2 linked regions of the Drosophila melanogaster genome follow. The protein of the gene in region 2 interacts with the protein of the main gene of each other region in a pairwise test. Each region holds a gene or a part of one and is shown on either strand. Other genes may lie near its edges.

Evidence for each region. The genes of interacting proteins can lie anywhere in the genome.
Region 1: the proteins of Noc3 (region 2) and CG5359 interact in a two-hybrid assay, tested with the Drosophila melanogaster proteins (one large-scale study listed by BioGRID).

What each region holds. Positions count from the first base shown.
Region 1 is NT_033777.3:9,998,443-10,004,718, reverse strand, and holds CG5359 (uncharacterized protein), read left to right. Parts: upstream 1-3,442; 5' UTR 3,443-3,517; coding exon 3,518-3,779; intron 3,780-3,837; coding exon 3,838-4,097; 3' UTR 4,098-4,146; exon of another isoform or gene 4,147-4,213; intron 4,214-4,350; 3' UTR 4,351-4,404; coding exon of another isoform or gene 4,405-4,541; 3' UTR 4,542-4,693; coding exon of another isoform or gene 4,694-4,821; 3' UTR 4,822-4,875; coding exon of another isoform or gene 4,876-4,883; 3' UTR 4,884-4,948; downstream 4,949-6,276. Other genes in the region: Mical (molecule interacting with CasL), read left to right, coding at 1-63, 277-309, 1,069-1,345, 1,468-1,672, 1,732-1,809, 1,866-1,966, 2,025-2,221, 2,279-2,284; Spn85F (serpin 85F), read right to left, coding at 4,405-4,541, 4,694-4,821, 4,876-4,883, 4,958-6,187.
Region 2 is NT_033777.3:7,242,794-7,250,309, forward strand, and holds Noc3 (nucleolar complex protein 3), read right to left. Parts: upstream 4,177-7,516; 5' UTR 4,091-4,176; coding exon 4,082-4,090; intron 4,030-4,081; coding exon 2,417-4,029; intron 2,359-2,416; coding exon 1,735-2,358; intron 1,679-1,734; coding exon 1,456-1,678; 3' UTR 1,439-1,455; downstream 1-1,438. Other genes in the region: CG14607 (uncharacterized protein), read left to right, coding at 1-1,048; CG10053 (uncharacterized protein), read left to right, coding at 4,457-4,503, 4,573-5,326; CG1227 (uncharacterized protein), read right to left, coding at 5,492-5,608, 5,664-5,798, 5,857-6,451, 6,512-6,627; Dtwd2 (DTW domain containing 2), read left to right, coding at 7,085-7,164, 7,227-7,516.

The DNA.
Region 1 (6,276 bases), 2.8 Mb from region 2:
GGAGGAGGAGGTGGCGTCTTCAGCAGATTCCGCATCTCGCCCAAGTCCAAGGAGAAGTCAAAGGTCAGTGATTGTACCAAATATATAATTGTAATGTGGTTTTAGTCGGTGTTGGTGTAACCAAGTGTTGTCTGCCTCATGGAGATTGGCTAGTCCAAGCTATCGATTCACACGACCTCATCTAGCATATAAGTTATATTAACTGCCGAGGACTCGATGTCTGGTGTAATAAGTGTGCCATTTATAACATATGAAATTCTTTTAATCATTTTGCAGTCTTGCTTTGATCTGAGGAATTTCGGTTTTGGTGTAAGGACTTTTAACTATTCTAAACTCTATTTACCACACACTTTCGAGTTTTCCAAATTTCTTACACTCTCAACAGCTTAGTCTTATTATTTGGCATCCGTTACATTTGGTTTATTTTTTATCTAATCGCACATTTCTTCATCTGAGTGGGCTTTTTGTCTGTTTGCTGTCCTATTAACACAATAAAGTTGCCACAATTTTCTTATGATTTCTTTTCATTTACTTTATTTTTTGTTTTCTTTTACCCTTTGCAGCAAAAGTAATCTAAGTCTTAACATTTAAGATTGACTGCTGAATTATTTCTTTTGCCTCAAAAATAACATATATGTTTTCTTAGTTTAATATCTATTAGGAGCGCATGGGTTTCAGGGAAACCTTACGGACATAAGGATATTCAGTTGTGTGTTTTAAACTTTAAGTGTTTATGGCTTAAGTACTTGGCAGCTTTTTGTTTAATGGGAATTAGTTTAAGAAGTGTTATTTATGATTTAAGCATAATGGATATTTTGCATGATTGGTTTCCCTGGATTCCCGGTTATGGTAATCAATAAAAGTTATGTGTTAAGTTTTTTGCCTTTGGACATTTTGCACGTTACATGTACTATATTTTAGTAAATAACAAGCTGTTTCTAATAAGATTTTGAATATTGTTTATTTTTCCATACGTTTTTCTCGACCTCTTTTTTTCCTCCTCTGAAAAACACTCAATCATTTAAACCGATATATATTCTGATACCTCCTAACGCCATGCTATACTAGGACAAGGATATGCTGGTCTGCAATGCAGCATCTCCAGCAGGAGCCACATCCGCATCACAGAAAAATCACTCGCAAGAGTATCTGAACACCACGAACAACAGTCGCTATCGAAAGCAAACGAACACTGCGAAACCGAAACCCGAATCGTTCTCTTCATCCAGTCCGCAGCTCTATATACACAAGCCCCACCACCTGGCCGCAGCTCATCCCAGTGCCCTGGACGACCAGACACCACCACCCATACCGCCTCTTCCACTGAATTATCAGAGATCCGATGGTTTGTTCTTCTCATTCTATGTCTGCATATACCGTCCACCCATTTTTCCTGTCCCGACCCACTGAATATTCATACAAGCGGAAACGTTACGGCCTGATTTGATCCCCTTTCCTATTTCCCAGATGAGAGCTACGCTAACGAGACACGAGAGCATAAGAAGCAACGTGCCATATCGAAGGCTTCACGACAAGCTGAGCTCAAGCGATTGCGAATCGCTCAAGAGATTCAGCGGGAACAGGAGGAGATCGAGGTGCAACTGAAGGATCTGGAGGCACGCGGCGTGCTTATTGAGAAGGCCTTGCGAGGCGAGGCGCAGAATATTGAAAAGTGAGTGCTAGGATCTGGCTATATCCTTGAATACCCATTAAATGAAATCTCTTCTACAGCCTGGATGCGACAAAGGACAACGACGAGAAGCTACTTAAGGAACTTTTGGAGATTTGGCGCAACATCACAGCACTCAAGTATGCTAATCAATGAAGCTCTATAATAAACAAATCTAATGTAATTTTGTTTTTAGGAAACGCGATGAGGAACTGACTATAAGGCAACAGGAACTGCAACTGGAGTATCGGCATGCCCAGCTGAAGGAAGAGCTCAATCTGCGCTTGTCCTGCAACAGTGAGTGTTATAGTTTCCTCTCAAAACTTTGATATAATATTTAATTCCATCATTGCAGAACTGGACAAAAGCTCTGCCGATGTGGCCGCCGAGGGAGCAATTCTCAACGAGATGCTGGAAATTGTCGCCAAGCGAGCCGCCCTACGACCCACAGCCTCCCAGCTCGACCTCACGGCAGCGGGATCAGCATCCACGTCCGCCGAGGCAACGGGCATTAAGCTGACGGGACAACCGCATGACCACGAAGAATCGATCGTGAGTAAATAGGACCTATATGTTTAAATTTGAAATTGACAACACCACTTGTTTCAGATTTGAATAGCCAACTTTCCCTGGAGATTGCTGGTCTGCGAAGTGGTGCATGGACTGTTGAGCCTAAATACTTAAGATGAAACAAGGGAACAGGGGAGAGCGTACCAAAAAGGCAGCTGAATATACAGAATTAACAATACTAAAACCCGTGAGCTGTAACCGAAACGAGCAACTAACTATTCAAAGTGGATAAGCTGGCTAAGAACAATTTCAATATTTATATAAGTAGAGAGCCTAACTAATATGGGAGAAGCGCGCAAGGTTAATGTAAAAACAGGCAGAGATGAAATCAAAACCAAAAAACTAATTTCGCAATTTAAAAGTAGGGATTACGAATGTTTTTGCGAATACCTTTAGTTTCGTATTCGACCTAATTGTACGTTTTGTTAGTCGTTGCCACTGAAATCTGTCTGATTTTTGTATGTCCTATGCAATATGTTGTGTTTTTATTTAATGTAATGTAGTGAGCGTGTGCAAAGGGTATGTGATTTTGAGCAAATGTAAATGGTGTATTTGAGTTTTCTTAGGTTATTTTCACTTAGCGATTGTTTGTCGATTTCTATGTAAACCGTTTGAGTGTATTATTATTTATTTGACAAAGCACCTTCCGCACATCCTCCCGATCAGCACACCCATGTATGTATTATGTCATTTGCCCCCAATCGAAATCAAAGTGAACACAAAGAGATGCACACAAATATTTTCTAAATGCGAGAGCCTACACATAGCGATGTAAGCGAGAAAGCAACCATTAACTGTATACTAACGAAATCATTTAAATTATTGCGTAACTTTATTTATAACCTGCATATATAAAAACATATTTATCGAATTTATTATGTAACTTTTCGATTTATTTTGAATTGAATAAAGATTTTATGAAACCTAAGGACGATTTTATAGTTCTACTTTATCGTGAAGTTTTCCTTAAATGTCCTTAAAGAAATGTTCTTTAATGGGGAAATTCCGCCATCGACGCTAACTTGACGCACATAAAATATTGGCGCGTATTATAAATTTAAATTATCCAGAAAATGAAAGAGGTGCCACACTTCGTTGTTATAAAGTGGCCACACCAAATAAGTTCGGTTATTCGTGGTGACTGACAATTAGGGATTGGCGGGAAAGCCATTTTACCATCTGGTAACACTAGCAATAAGTAAACAAACATAGCAACCAAGATTTTCTTGGTGCTTTCTTAAACACTTTGAAAGGGAATTACGCTGAATTTGACAAAAGATGGCTGACAAACAGTCCACTGAGGAAACAACCAAATCCGTCCAGACTTTAACAGTGCCCAACCCAGCGGATAGGAAGTCGGAAAAGTCGGCGTCAGGAAGTCTGCACTCCGGCTCAGCCGATGGTTTGGAAAATCAAGAAAAGTCGGAAAAGCCCGGCGACCAGCCCACCGCCTATAGCATGCGACCGGCCTTTGGGGAGATGTTTCCCCTGCCCACCATCAAGAGCATAATGAACAACGTTATGGCCGAGAAACTCAAAGGTTAGTGTGAAAATCCATAAATATACTGCGCGTTGCCTAGCAACTTCACTATTTGAAGACAAAACCTATGACAAGGACGTCGCCAAGAAGTGGACCAGTGAGATCGCCGACGAGGTGAACCAGCAGATAGCCAGCAGCTCCCTGGTGAAGCGGTACAAGCACGTGGTCCAGGTGATGCTAGGCCAGGAGCTGGGTGCGGGGGCCACTTACAACTCGCGCTGCTGCTGGGATTGCGACTGCGACACTTCCGTCTCCGAGGTCTTCAGCAACACCAGTCTCTTTTGCGTCTGTACAGTGTTTGGAACGTATCAGTACTAAAACCGATTTCCCACAGAACTAGTTAGACTAAGGATTATACTTTAATGGGGTGAGCTTACATTAAATGGGTTGTCACGAGATGTGTTTTCTAAAAATATTATATAGATAAAATATTCAACAAATGTTGTTTAATTTAATGATAATTTTAAGTATGAAGTTTCTTTACTTCCATTCAAATTTCATCTGCCCAGAGTCTCGTGACACCCCCGTATATTTACATTTTAATCTAAGCAATGCTAACATCTCGTATTAGTAGGCACCGGGAACAAAGGGTTCATCACTTTCGATAGTCGACCTTCGTCGTGCTTCATTGGATGCGTACGTTCAGCGGATTCAGTATGCGGCCCGACATCACAGCCACGTCCAAGTCGCGATCGACGATGAAAAACAGAAACGGATGATTCACAGAGATCTGAATGGGCTTCGATTGGGCGCCGTAGTTGCCTAGAGAGTAAAAGGAAGTGTTTATTGCACTTTGTCTCGTGTTGCAGAGGCTGCAACTGTTGCAACACCATTAGGTTGGGCATTCGCAATGCGTTGCGGCTCAATGCCTCCACTCCATTCCATTCAGGTGTGCTGCAATGCGAGACACTTACGCTTCAGCTGATTGATGGGATGCGTACGGATGGTGACGTCTATGGATTGCTCAATGTGTCGCACGTAGACGCCCTTCTCCTCAGTCATGGGCCTGAAATCGGCGCGATTTGGTTCGAATACGTCGCAGCTGCAACGAAAGTAAAATGAAGCCAGGAACTGGAGCTATTACACCCATGCTTACATTCCCATCTGCAACAGAGAGCACAAAAACCAAAGACACCTCAATAAAAACACAAAAATGCACTCTACAAATGAATACATACATTCTGCAAGTCGTTTGTCAAAAACATGGTGCCGTGCAGCTTGAAATCTGGAATGATGGCTTGCACCCAGCGTGGCTTCAACTGCTTCCGCATCAGTCGAAGGGTTGGTCCCAGTTTCAAGGAGGCGGCGGCTGCAACAATATCCGTGTGGTAGTCGGGCAACAGGATCATTAGGTTGTACTCCGGTGTGTCCAATTCCAACTCCAGCACGCTCATCTTCAGGTGCTCAAAGTACTTGTAGTACAGCACTGCGTTATATACCTTGAAGGTGGTGTGCACCACCTGTTGATTGCCCAAGTAGAATACGTGGCTGATCACATCCGTGTTATAGTTGGACTTTCCCTCGGCCGCCTCTCCGATATAGTGTGGCTCAAAATCATTCGTGATGGGTGCAAAGGCAGCGGGCACTGGCGGCGGAAAGTGCAGCGGGTGGTGCGGGACATGCGTGTGCGGATTGAAGAGGGTCAGAAAGAGATTTGCATCCAGATCCTTGTATGCTGGTATCGCATGACGCTTGTATCGTGCTGTCTTCGTCTTGCGAGTCACCGATATGTTTGCTGGTTGCACGGATGGCGCTATAATAGAAATTACTTGCCGTGTTCCTGGTGGCTTTCGCTCCGCCACCTGGCGAGCCATCATTGGCATTGGCATGGCCACTGTTCGCGCACTGGGCAGGTAAATGGGCTTGGGAGTGATTGGATTCGAATGCTTTAGCGGCGCCTGTAGTTTGCTGGTGGGCAATCTGGAGACTCGAGCCTTCTGGATGCGCAAGAGAGGCTCGGAGTCCTCCTCGGCTACAAAAGCGGACACTAACTCGGCTGCTTCATCCTCACCAGCGGGCTCAGCGGCCTCCTCTTCACCCGATGTTGCAGCAGGTGCTTCTGTGGTGGCCTCCGTTTCCGCTGGAGTCTCTGTGGTGGTGGTTGGTGGCTCTGCCGTTGTCGTCGCCGGCGGCTCTGTGGTTGTTGTGGCCGGCTCTTCTGTTGTGCTCTCCGCATCCTTTGACGTTGTGGTTTCCGCATCCATTTCCATGGTCGTCGTATTGCTGGCCATTGTGGTGTTGACCAACTCGGCATCTGATGTGAGATTGGCTGGTGTGGAGGAGAGCATATCTACACTTAAGTCATATCCGTAAAACATAAGAACCGTCTCAAAGTCCTTGAGAACAGTGACATTGCCCTTGTTCAAGCTGAGTCCTTTCAGTGGATTGTCGGAGCCAAAAAAGTAAGTCTGGAAAATAGAATAAAAATCTATAACATTAGATTATCAATCATTATTTAGCATATATGCTGAGTATGTCCTTTATAGAGTCCCAAGTT
Region 2 (7,516 bases):
CTTGACACCTGCACCATATCCAACAGCACCAGCCCTGCCACTTACTCCCGCTCCGGCTCCTACTGCATATGGAGCAGGCTTGTTTCCCTCACCCGCTGTTGGATTTACGCCAAGTGGACAGGCTACCACTGCTTTTGGAGCACCCGCCATTGTAGGAGCCACAAACCCCGTTAACCCACCGAGAAGAACTTCATCTGGCGGATTATCTACCCCATCATCTCGCAGTGGACCCTATGGACCGCAGGCTTCGCAGTATGGAGGTACTCCCGGTGGATCTCCAATCCGAGTTGCTAGTGGAACGGGAGACAGCGGGGACTACAACGATTCCGATGGAGACTACTCGGCCATTCCGGGTGTTCCTGGAGTGGATTATCCTATTTATGCCCAGGTGCCGCGCACCAACTTTGACTGTGCGCAACAGCCCCTACCCGGCTATTATGCGGACATAGAGGCCCAATGCCAGGTGTTCCATATCTGTGCCCTCAACCGGACCTACTCCTTCCTGTGTCCCAATGGCACAGTCTTCAGCCAGGAGACATTAGTCTGTGTGTGGTGGAACCAGTACGACTGCGTTTCGGCGCCCAGCTTATATGCGAACAATGCCTATATCTATGATTACTCCGAGAGAAGTGGCTCCAATCTGAGAACATCGAATACCAACAACGTCTACCGTCCGGCCGCTTCTTCCTCGGCTGCCTTCGGGGCACCTCTGGCCACGACTGGAACACTTCGAGCCACCGGAGTGTCTCAGGTTGCTGGATATAACTCCGGCCGGGGGTCCTATCCTTCAGCCACGCCCACCCCAACCGCTCAGCCCCAAAGCCCGTATGGCGCTGGGGCTGTCCTTCGTCCCGCCATTGTCCCGAGCACTGGAGCCAATCGATTACCGCCATCGGGAGCTGCTGTCGGGCTTCTGGCCACTGCCGCCGGAGCTCTTCCCGAGAGTTCAGTGGCTGGATTCGGGCAACAGCAGTCGGGCGGGAATAGAGAGTATCTGCCACCAGCTAGCGTTGGACAACAGCGACAACGAGGAGGCACCAATGCATAGGTAGCGAATGAAAAATTCTGGCGAACCCCTGGGACTTGTACCCGGTTATATGACACTACTCTTAGTGACTCTAGACTTAGCCTCTATATAGAATGTTAGGAGCTCCAAACATAATAACTTGTAAAAATCCCATTAATTGAAATATATTACAGAGAAGTTCTAAGCAAATGAATGGTTTCATGTTTTAAAACCAACTCGCACCTTTCTGATTTAACAACAAATTTGTTCGATTATTATCTGGCTAATCAAATCCTGGTATCACACTTGGTATTCTCTTCCTTTAACTGAGAACGTATTTGGAAGAATGTTTAATATTGGGAAACAAGTTGGGTATTGTTTAAAAATTGCATTTCTTTCCACACTATTCCGCAGTCATTATAACTCTACTTCAATCTTCAAATTTTTCTTTATTGAAGTGCACTGAAAAAATCAATTTGTAAGGTTTGTTTATCCTTCGTCTGTGAAACTTTTCCTTGCTGCAGCAGTTTTCCGTACTCCTGTTTGAAGTCCGAGCGAATATATAAGTGTTTGCCCCTTTTTAGTTTTGGTTGACCCGCTTTTGGCAGCGGTATTGTCGGATTGAAAGCCATCTGAGTGCTGTCGAATTGCGTAAACAGCTCGTGGGAGGTACTAAGGAAAGTAATAATTGTTAGAGTCACATATGTAGTTGCCGTCTTATTACATACAGTTTGCCAATTTCCGTGGGCAAAGCTCCCTCGCCCGTTGCTGGCACTCCATGAGCAATGTGAACGGCCATCCGTCGCACCGTGGGATGATAGTGACGTGCCAGAAGCGCAAGCTCATACAGCGCTGTGCTTGCTGCGTTACAGTACTCAGGATCGTCCAGTTCGGGATCGTAACGACCAGAGCCTATCGTAGTGTCTGTATCCAATAGGTTGTCAAGCACAGAAGTGAGCTGGAAGGTTTGTTTTATTGTGCCAAGCGTGGCCAGGGTGCCATTATGGAGCAGATGCAGACTTCCAGTAAGCAAGCGTTTCATGAAGGCCATTAGACGCTGCTGGCTCATATTGCGACGACGCTTTACGAGCACCTCATCCAAAGTTCGCAAAATAATGGCGAAGTCATCGTGATTTTTGCCTGCCTGCACCGCCAGCATATTTCGGTAAAAGTGCTGGTAGAATCGGATGGGGTCGATGTTTAGCACCTCACCCTGGCCGGAAAGGATAACGAATATGGTCTGAACACAGTGCAATCGCTCCCGGTAGCCCAGCTCGTCTTGGTCCTCTAGAATGCGGTTGAGCACATCGATTAGATCGGAGAAGAAGTCCAAATTAATGACGTGCGCAAACCTAAAAATCATCCTCTATATTTAAAATTCCAGGAAAGAGATTTACAATAACCACTCACTCTGCCAATCCTTCTAGAATAGCGCTCAGCACGCGGGAGGTGGGATCGTTCTTAAGCACGCGGAAGTAAATGGTAAACACCATCTTTATGATCTCGGTGAGCTTCTGATGCTTTGCTTGCTTGTTTTCCTCGGCACGGGTTTCCTCTAGTTCTCTGTTAACCTCGGTGAGCTTCTTACGTCTTTTGCGCTCTTTCTTGGACAAGCTTAGTAAGCGTTGACGATGCGACTCAAGCTTCTTTTGCTTTAGCTCATTCTCCTTTTCGGCATCTAGGTTTACGTTCTTGATTTTAAGGCCCATCAGACAGGTGATGCACTCCACATGAACATTGTTCTGCTTCGTTTTGATCAAGTGATTGATGCGTCGCACTATAAAAAGAGTCATTTCTAACCGTTTGTCGTTGGAAAAGACTGTGCGGAAGCACTGATGGACCGCCGTTCGCATCTCTGCATAATTGCAATTCAGCATATACACCAGAAGCTGGGCAATGTTTTGAACGTAGTTAAAGTATGGATGTGCCACAAGCAAGTCACACATGCACTGTACTGCCACGGTGGCCAACTTCACAGTCTGAGGCGTCCTTAGACCACCTCTCCTGTTAACTTGCGCTGTGATCTGTTCCAGTTTCTGCAGGAACTTTTTAAACTGTTGAAGCAAGGCGTTTTCAAAGGTTACACGATCAAGAGTGGCCTTGCGAAGCGTCTGCATCTTGGTGTCGACCTGACCCACTCGATACTCGGGCAAGATATCTTTGAATATCTCGGTGACAGAGATTATGGCCAGCTTTCTGACGGCCATTAGGTTGGCCTGTCGACTGGCTGGGTTGATTTCGTCCATGAGTTCGTACAGAGCATGAAAGTTGCGCATCTTATCCTCTGGCTTTTCGAGCAGCCCGGAACAAATGATTCCAATGCGATACTTCTGGCGTTCGATCTCCTGCTGCCGGGCAATAAGTAGATCCGTGGTAGAGATAAGTTTTTGGACGGGAGCGGCGGTGGCGGCCTCGACATCATTGACCACATCGTCATCGCTGTCCTCATACTCCGTATCACCGTCTTCCTCGGAATCATCCTCCTCTTCTTCTTCATTCTTCTTTTTCTGCTTGGGCTTAGGTATGTAATCCACCTCTGTCGTACGGGTGATAATCTGACCATCCCTGGACTTGATTGGCAGCAAATCCAACTTTATTTTTTGCGCGTCCTGCTCTTTTTTCGTGTCAGAGGCATAGGCCCTTTCCAAGCCGATGGATTGTCCTTGGTCAGGATCATTCTCGCCGGTCGTCTTGGCCTTTCGCTTGCGTTTGTTAGCCTGGAGCAGGGCAAGATCATCGCCATCCAGCATGTCCGCAACGTTTTCAAGCATCTCATCGTCGCCATCCTCGTTGTCTTCCTCGAGCGGATCCAAGCCCAGGGAGGCCAATTTGTTGTGCTTTTTACGCTGTGCTAAGTTGTCCCGCTTTCTCGCCTTTTGGGAGAATATATTCTGACCCTGTTCGCGCTTCGATTTCAGTTGGTCGCGCTTTTGCTTCTGTTTTTGTTGCTGCTGCTTAGAAAGCGGTGTTTTTTTCGACTTCAGGTGAGCAGCCCGCTTGACCGAGCTGATTTTGACCTTTTTCTACAATGATTTGGATTAGAATAAGCATTAAATAATTTTACTTTCCACTTACAGTTCCCATTGCACCCGTTTTAGTCAACTAATAGTTAATTTTCACAAATGTTGCCTTCTGAATGGGACGAGCACATGGAACGCCAACGGAACTGTCCACTCGTCAGCGGAGCGCAACAGCTGCTCAGAAGCGGATAGTATTTTGTTTAGTATCTTACATGCGCTTACTTAAAATACTTTGTTTTTGAAGAAATAAGTAAATGACACAAACTGGCTGTTTTTTTTATCACTAAACAGAACCAATACTATAAAATACAATTTTCGGAACTCAATCTTCATAGCAGAGATATCATTGTTATTATAAATTATCGAAATAATGCTGTAGATAACTATGCAATGGTCACACTTAAGTGAGAAGTGTAAACAAAACAAACAGATGTCTGACGAGGAGGAGGATTATATGTCCGACAAATTCCTGGTTGGGTGAGATTACACTCACACCTAACTAACAACCAACCACCTTATGAAAAACTCTCATCCTTCCCTCATTAGTCTGCAAGATGTCCGACCGAGTTTGGTGCACAATCGCGGCAGAAAGCGGCAGATTGAAGTCGAGTCCAAGAAAGATGAGCTGAAGAAGCGCCAACGGGAGACAGCAGCTTCTTCCGGGAACGTAGACAATGTTCGCCTTCAACAGTCCCTCAACAAACCAATTTCCGCCGACAACAAAGGATTCCAGCTACTGGCCAAGATGGGCTACAAAGCCGGTTCTGGGTTGGGCATAACTTCGGATGCTCGTACTGAACCCGTGGGGATAACTATAAAGAGCGGTCGTGGAGGACTTGGGCGCGAGGCAGCCGTTGCAGAGTTGGCCCTCAAGCGGCAGAAGTTGCGGAGGGCACATCTCCTAAACAAGGCCGGCATTAAAAGCGACGAGGAAGTCAGTACAGAGGCTTATAGGAGGCGCGCGACCCATAAAGCGGAGGAGCGAAAATTACAGTATGACATAAAACGGTGCCAGCAGACCTGCGAATCGTTGGATCTTAAGTCCGCTATCACAGAACCAGATCTCGATTTCTTTTGGCCACCTAAACCAAAAGATGAAGATGAATCACAGAGCGACGCCGACGATCCTGAAGTCGAGGTGCCACCTAAGCAAGAACCATACAGTCCCTCGGAGCAATTAGAACTCCTCACTGGCTACCTGCGCACAGCCTATTGCTTCTGCTATTGGTGTGGGACCCATTACGATGACGCCGAAGATCTGGGCTCCAACTGTCCAGGACTCACTCGTGACGAACACTAGCTCCAATCAATAAAATAAAATAAAAAAACTAGCTTGATTGCTTACACATAATTTCATAAAATCAGCAGGTTTAAAATATTTTACAATAAGTAGTCAAAAAACAGTAAGCGGTGTATCTGGTTTGGAGGAATGTCTATAAATGAGTTGTAATCCAGTTAGTGGGAGCTACAAGCGACCCTCCAGTTTCTGTATCAGATCGTGGGTCCTTTCGATAACACTAAACACGAATGGCCGTTCCATTGGATCTGTTCGCAGCATGTACTTAATTAATTCGTGCATGTCCTAGACAAATATTTGGAATTAGTTTCCTTTACAATATAAAAAAAAGGTTTATTACCTCTGTGTAAATTGAATCCTCTGGAATGTTTATGTTCCCACTGAGCACAGCCAAAGCCACGCTGTCACCTCGCTCGTAGATGGGATCGTAGGGTGAATTAAAGTAGCACATTGCATAGAGCACACAGCCAAGACTCTGAAAGAGGGAAATGTTAAGGAAGAACTTCAATAACGCTCTCTTGGATCTGCTTTACCCATATGTCAGTGCGCTCGTCAATTGTGCAATATGTTTTCACGGTAAATAACTCTGGAGCCCGGTAGACAATGGAGCTCCTCTCCTCGGCTTCGTCCTGCAAGCGCTGAGCATCCGTCTGGCCCACAATCTGCAGTCGGGCTTCTGTCATTGACCCGAGATCCACAATAATTGGCTCAAAAGAGTCCGACAGGCAGATGTTGGCCGTTTTTAGATCTCGGTGGGCCAGAGGCACCGGCATTGCCTCGTGGATGGCCTTCAATCCCTCGCAGACGCCCAGAAAGATTTGCAGGATCTGGGCCTCGGGCATGTGGTCCTGTTTCCGCGATCGCAGCTGAAGGTGGTCCGCAAGAGATCCGTGCTTGTAATAGGGAAGCACAATGAACAAGGTGCTCGTTGTGTTTATAACTATGTCCGCCTGGCCCTTCAGCTCGTAATCCACTACCCGGATCACGTTTTCCGAGTCAATTTTTCGACAGTTTTCGATTTCTCGCAGAGCTATATTCTGATCATCGATGCTGTGGCAGGTGATGCGCTTTATCGCATAGCTACGTCGCGTGGAGGCGTTTTCCCCAAGGTCGATTAGACTGAAGCCCCTGTTTAAACACTCAGATTAGATATATCAGAGGAGATAGTGGGAAAAATGTGGTACAAACCCCGTCGCCAGCCTTTCGCGGATTGTGTATCGAGATCCGTTTATGTTCAGGGTCTCCTTGCGGCAACTAAAGAGGCAGCCGCGTTTCATGATCAGCGTCCATCCTATACTCTGCATTTTTCTTAAATTATGCTATGTACTTCACAACTTTAAGCTTAACAACTAGTTCAATTCACATACAAAATCTAAATAGAAAACACAAAGCTGAAGTGGAATGTTTATACTGGAACGAATTTATGAAGTTCGGTGATTTTTAACCATATTTGTAAGATTCTATATTAACTTTAACTTTAAAAACTAGGCACTTTCGTATTATTTTTACGATTTTAGTTTCTTGACGTATTAATAAATTAATATTTATTTTGATTCCTTGGTGTATAGATTAAAGGAATTCAAGATTCTGTCATCGCATAATCGCAATTTCACTGCACTCCAAACAGCTGATTCGAAGACAGGGCGGTCATATTTGCCATGTGGCTGTGTGCGTTGCCACCTAGTTGCGAATTGTTGCTTACGGATTTCTTATCGTGCGGAATATAAACTTAGCATTTTTCTAATTTAATCAATTATAAGTATGGAGGATGACGCGTGGCTGGACCTCGTGGGCATCAGCGCCGATCCGCCCAACAGACGCAACAAGTGCGAGAAATGCAAGTGAGTGGTGAAGCTGGGAATCTGCCATAAAAATTAAAGTATTTTCATGAACTCTATTATAGACGACCCGTGGTTGTTTGCTGGTGCCCGGCTTTACCGCATCCACCTGAGGCGGTGTCCTCACAGATTGTTATACTGCAACACCCTGCAGAGGAGAAGAGATCGCTACGCACTGCACTGATGCTGCAGTTGGGTTTGGAACCGGGAAAATGTGTCGTCTACAAAGGCAAGCGGTTTCCAAACCATAGAAACCATGCTGATCTGCAGAGGATTTTGGACTCTCCACAAACACTGCTTCTGTATCCCAGTCGGGACTCGGTCCCACTGGAAGAGGTGGACCACAGTGCGGGTC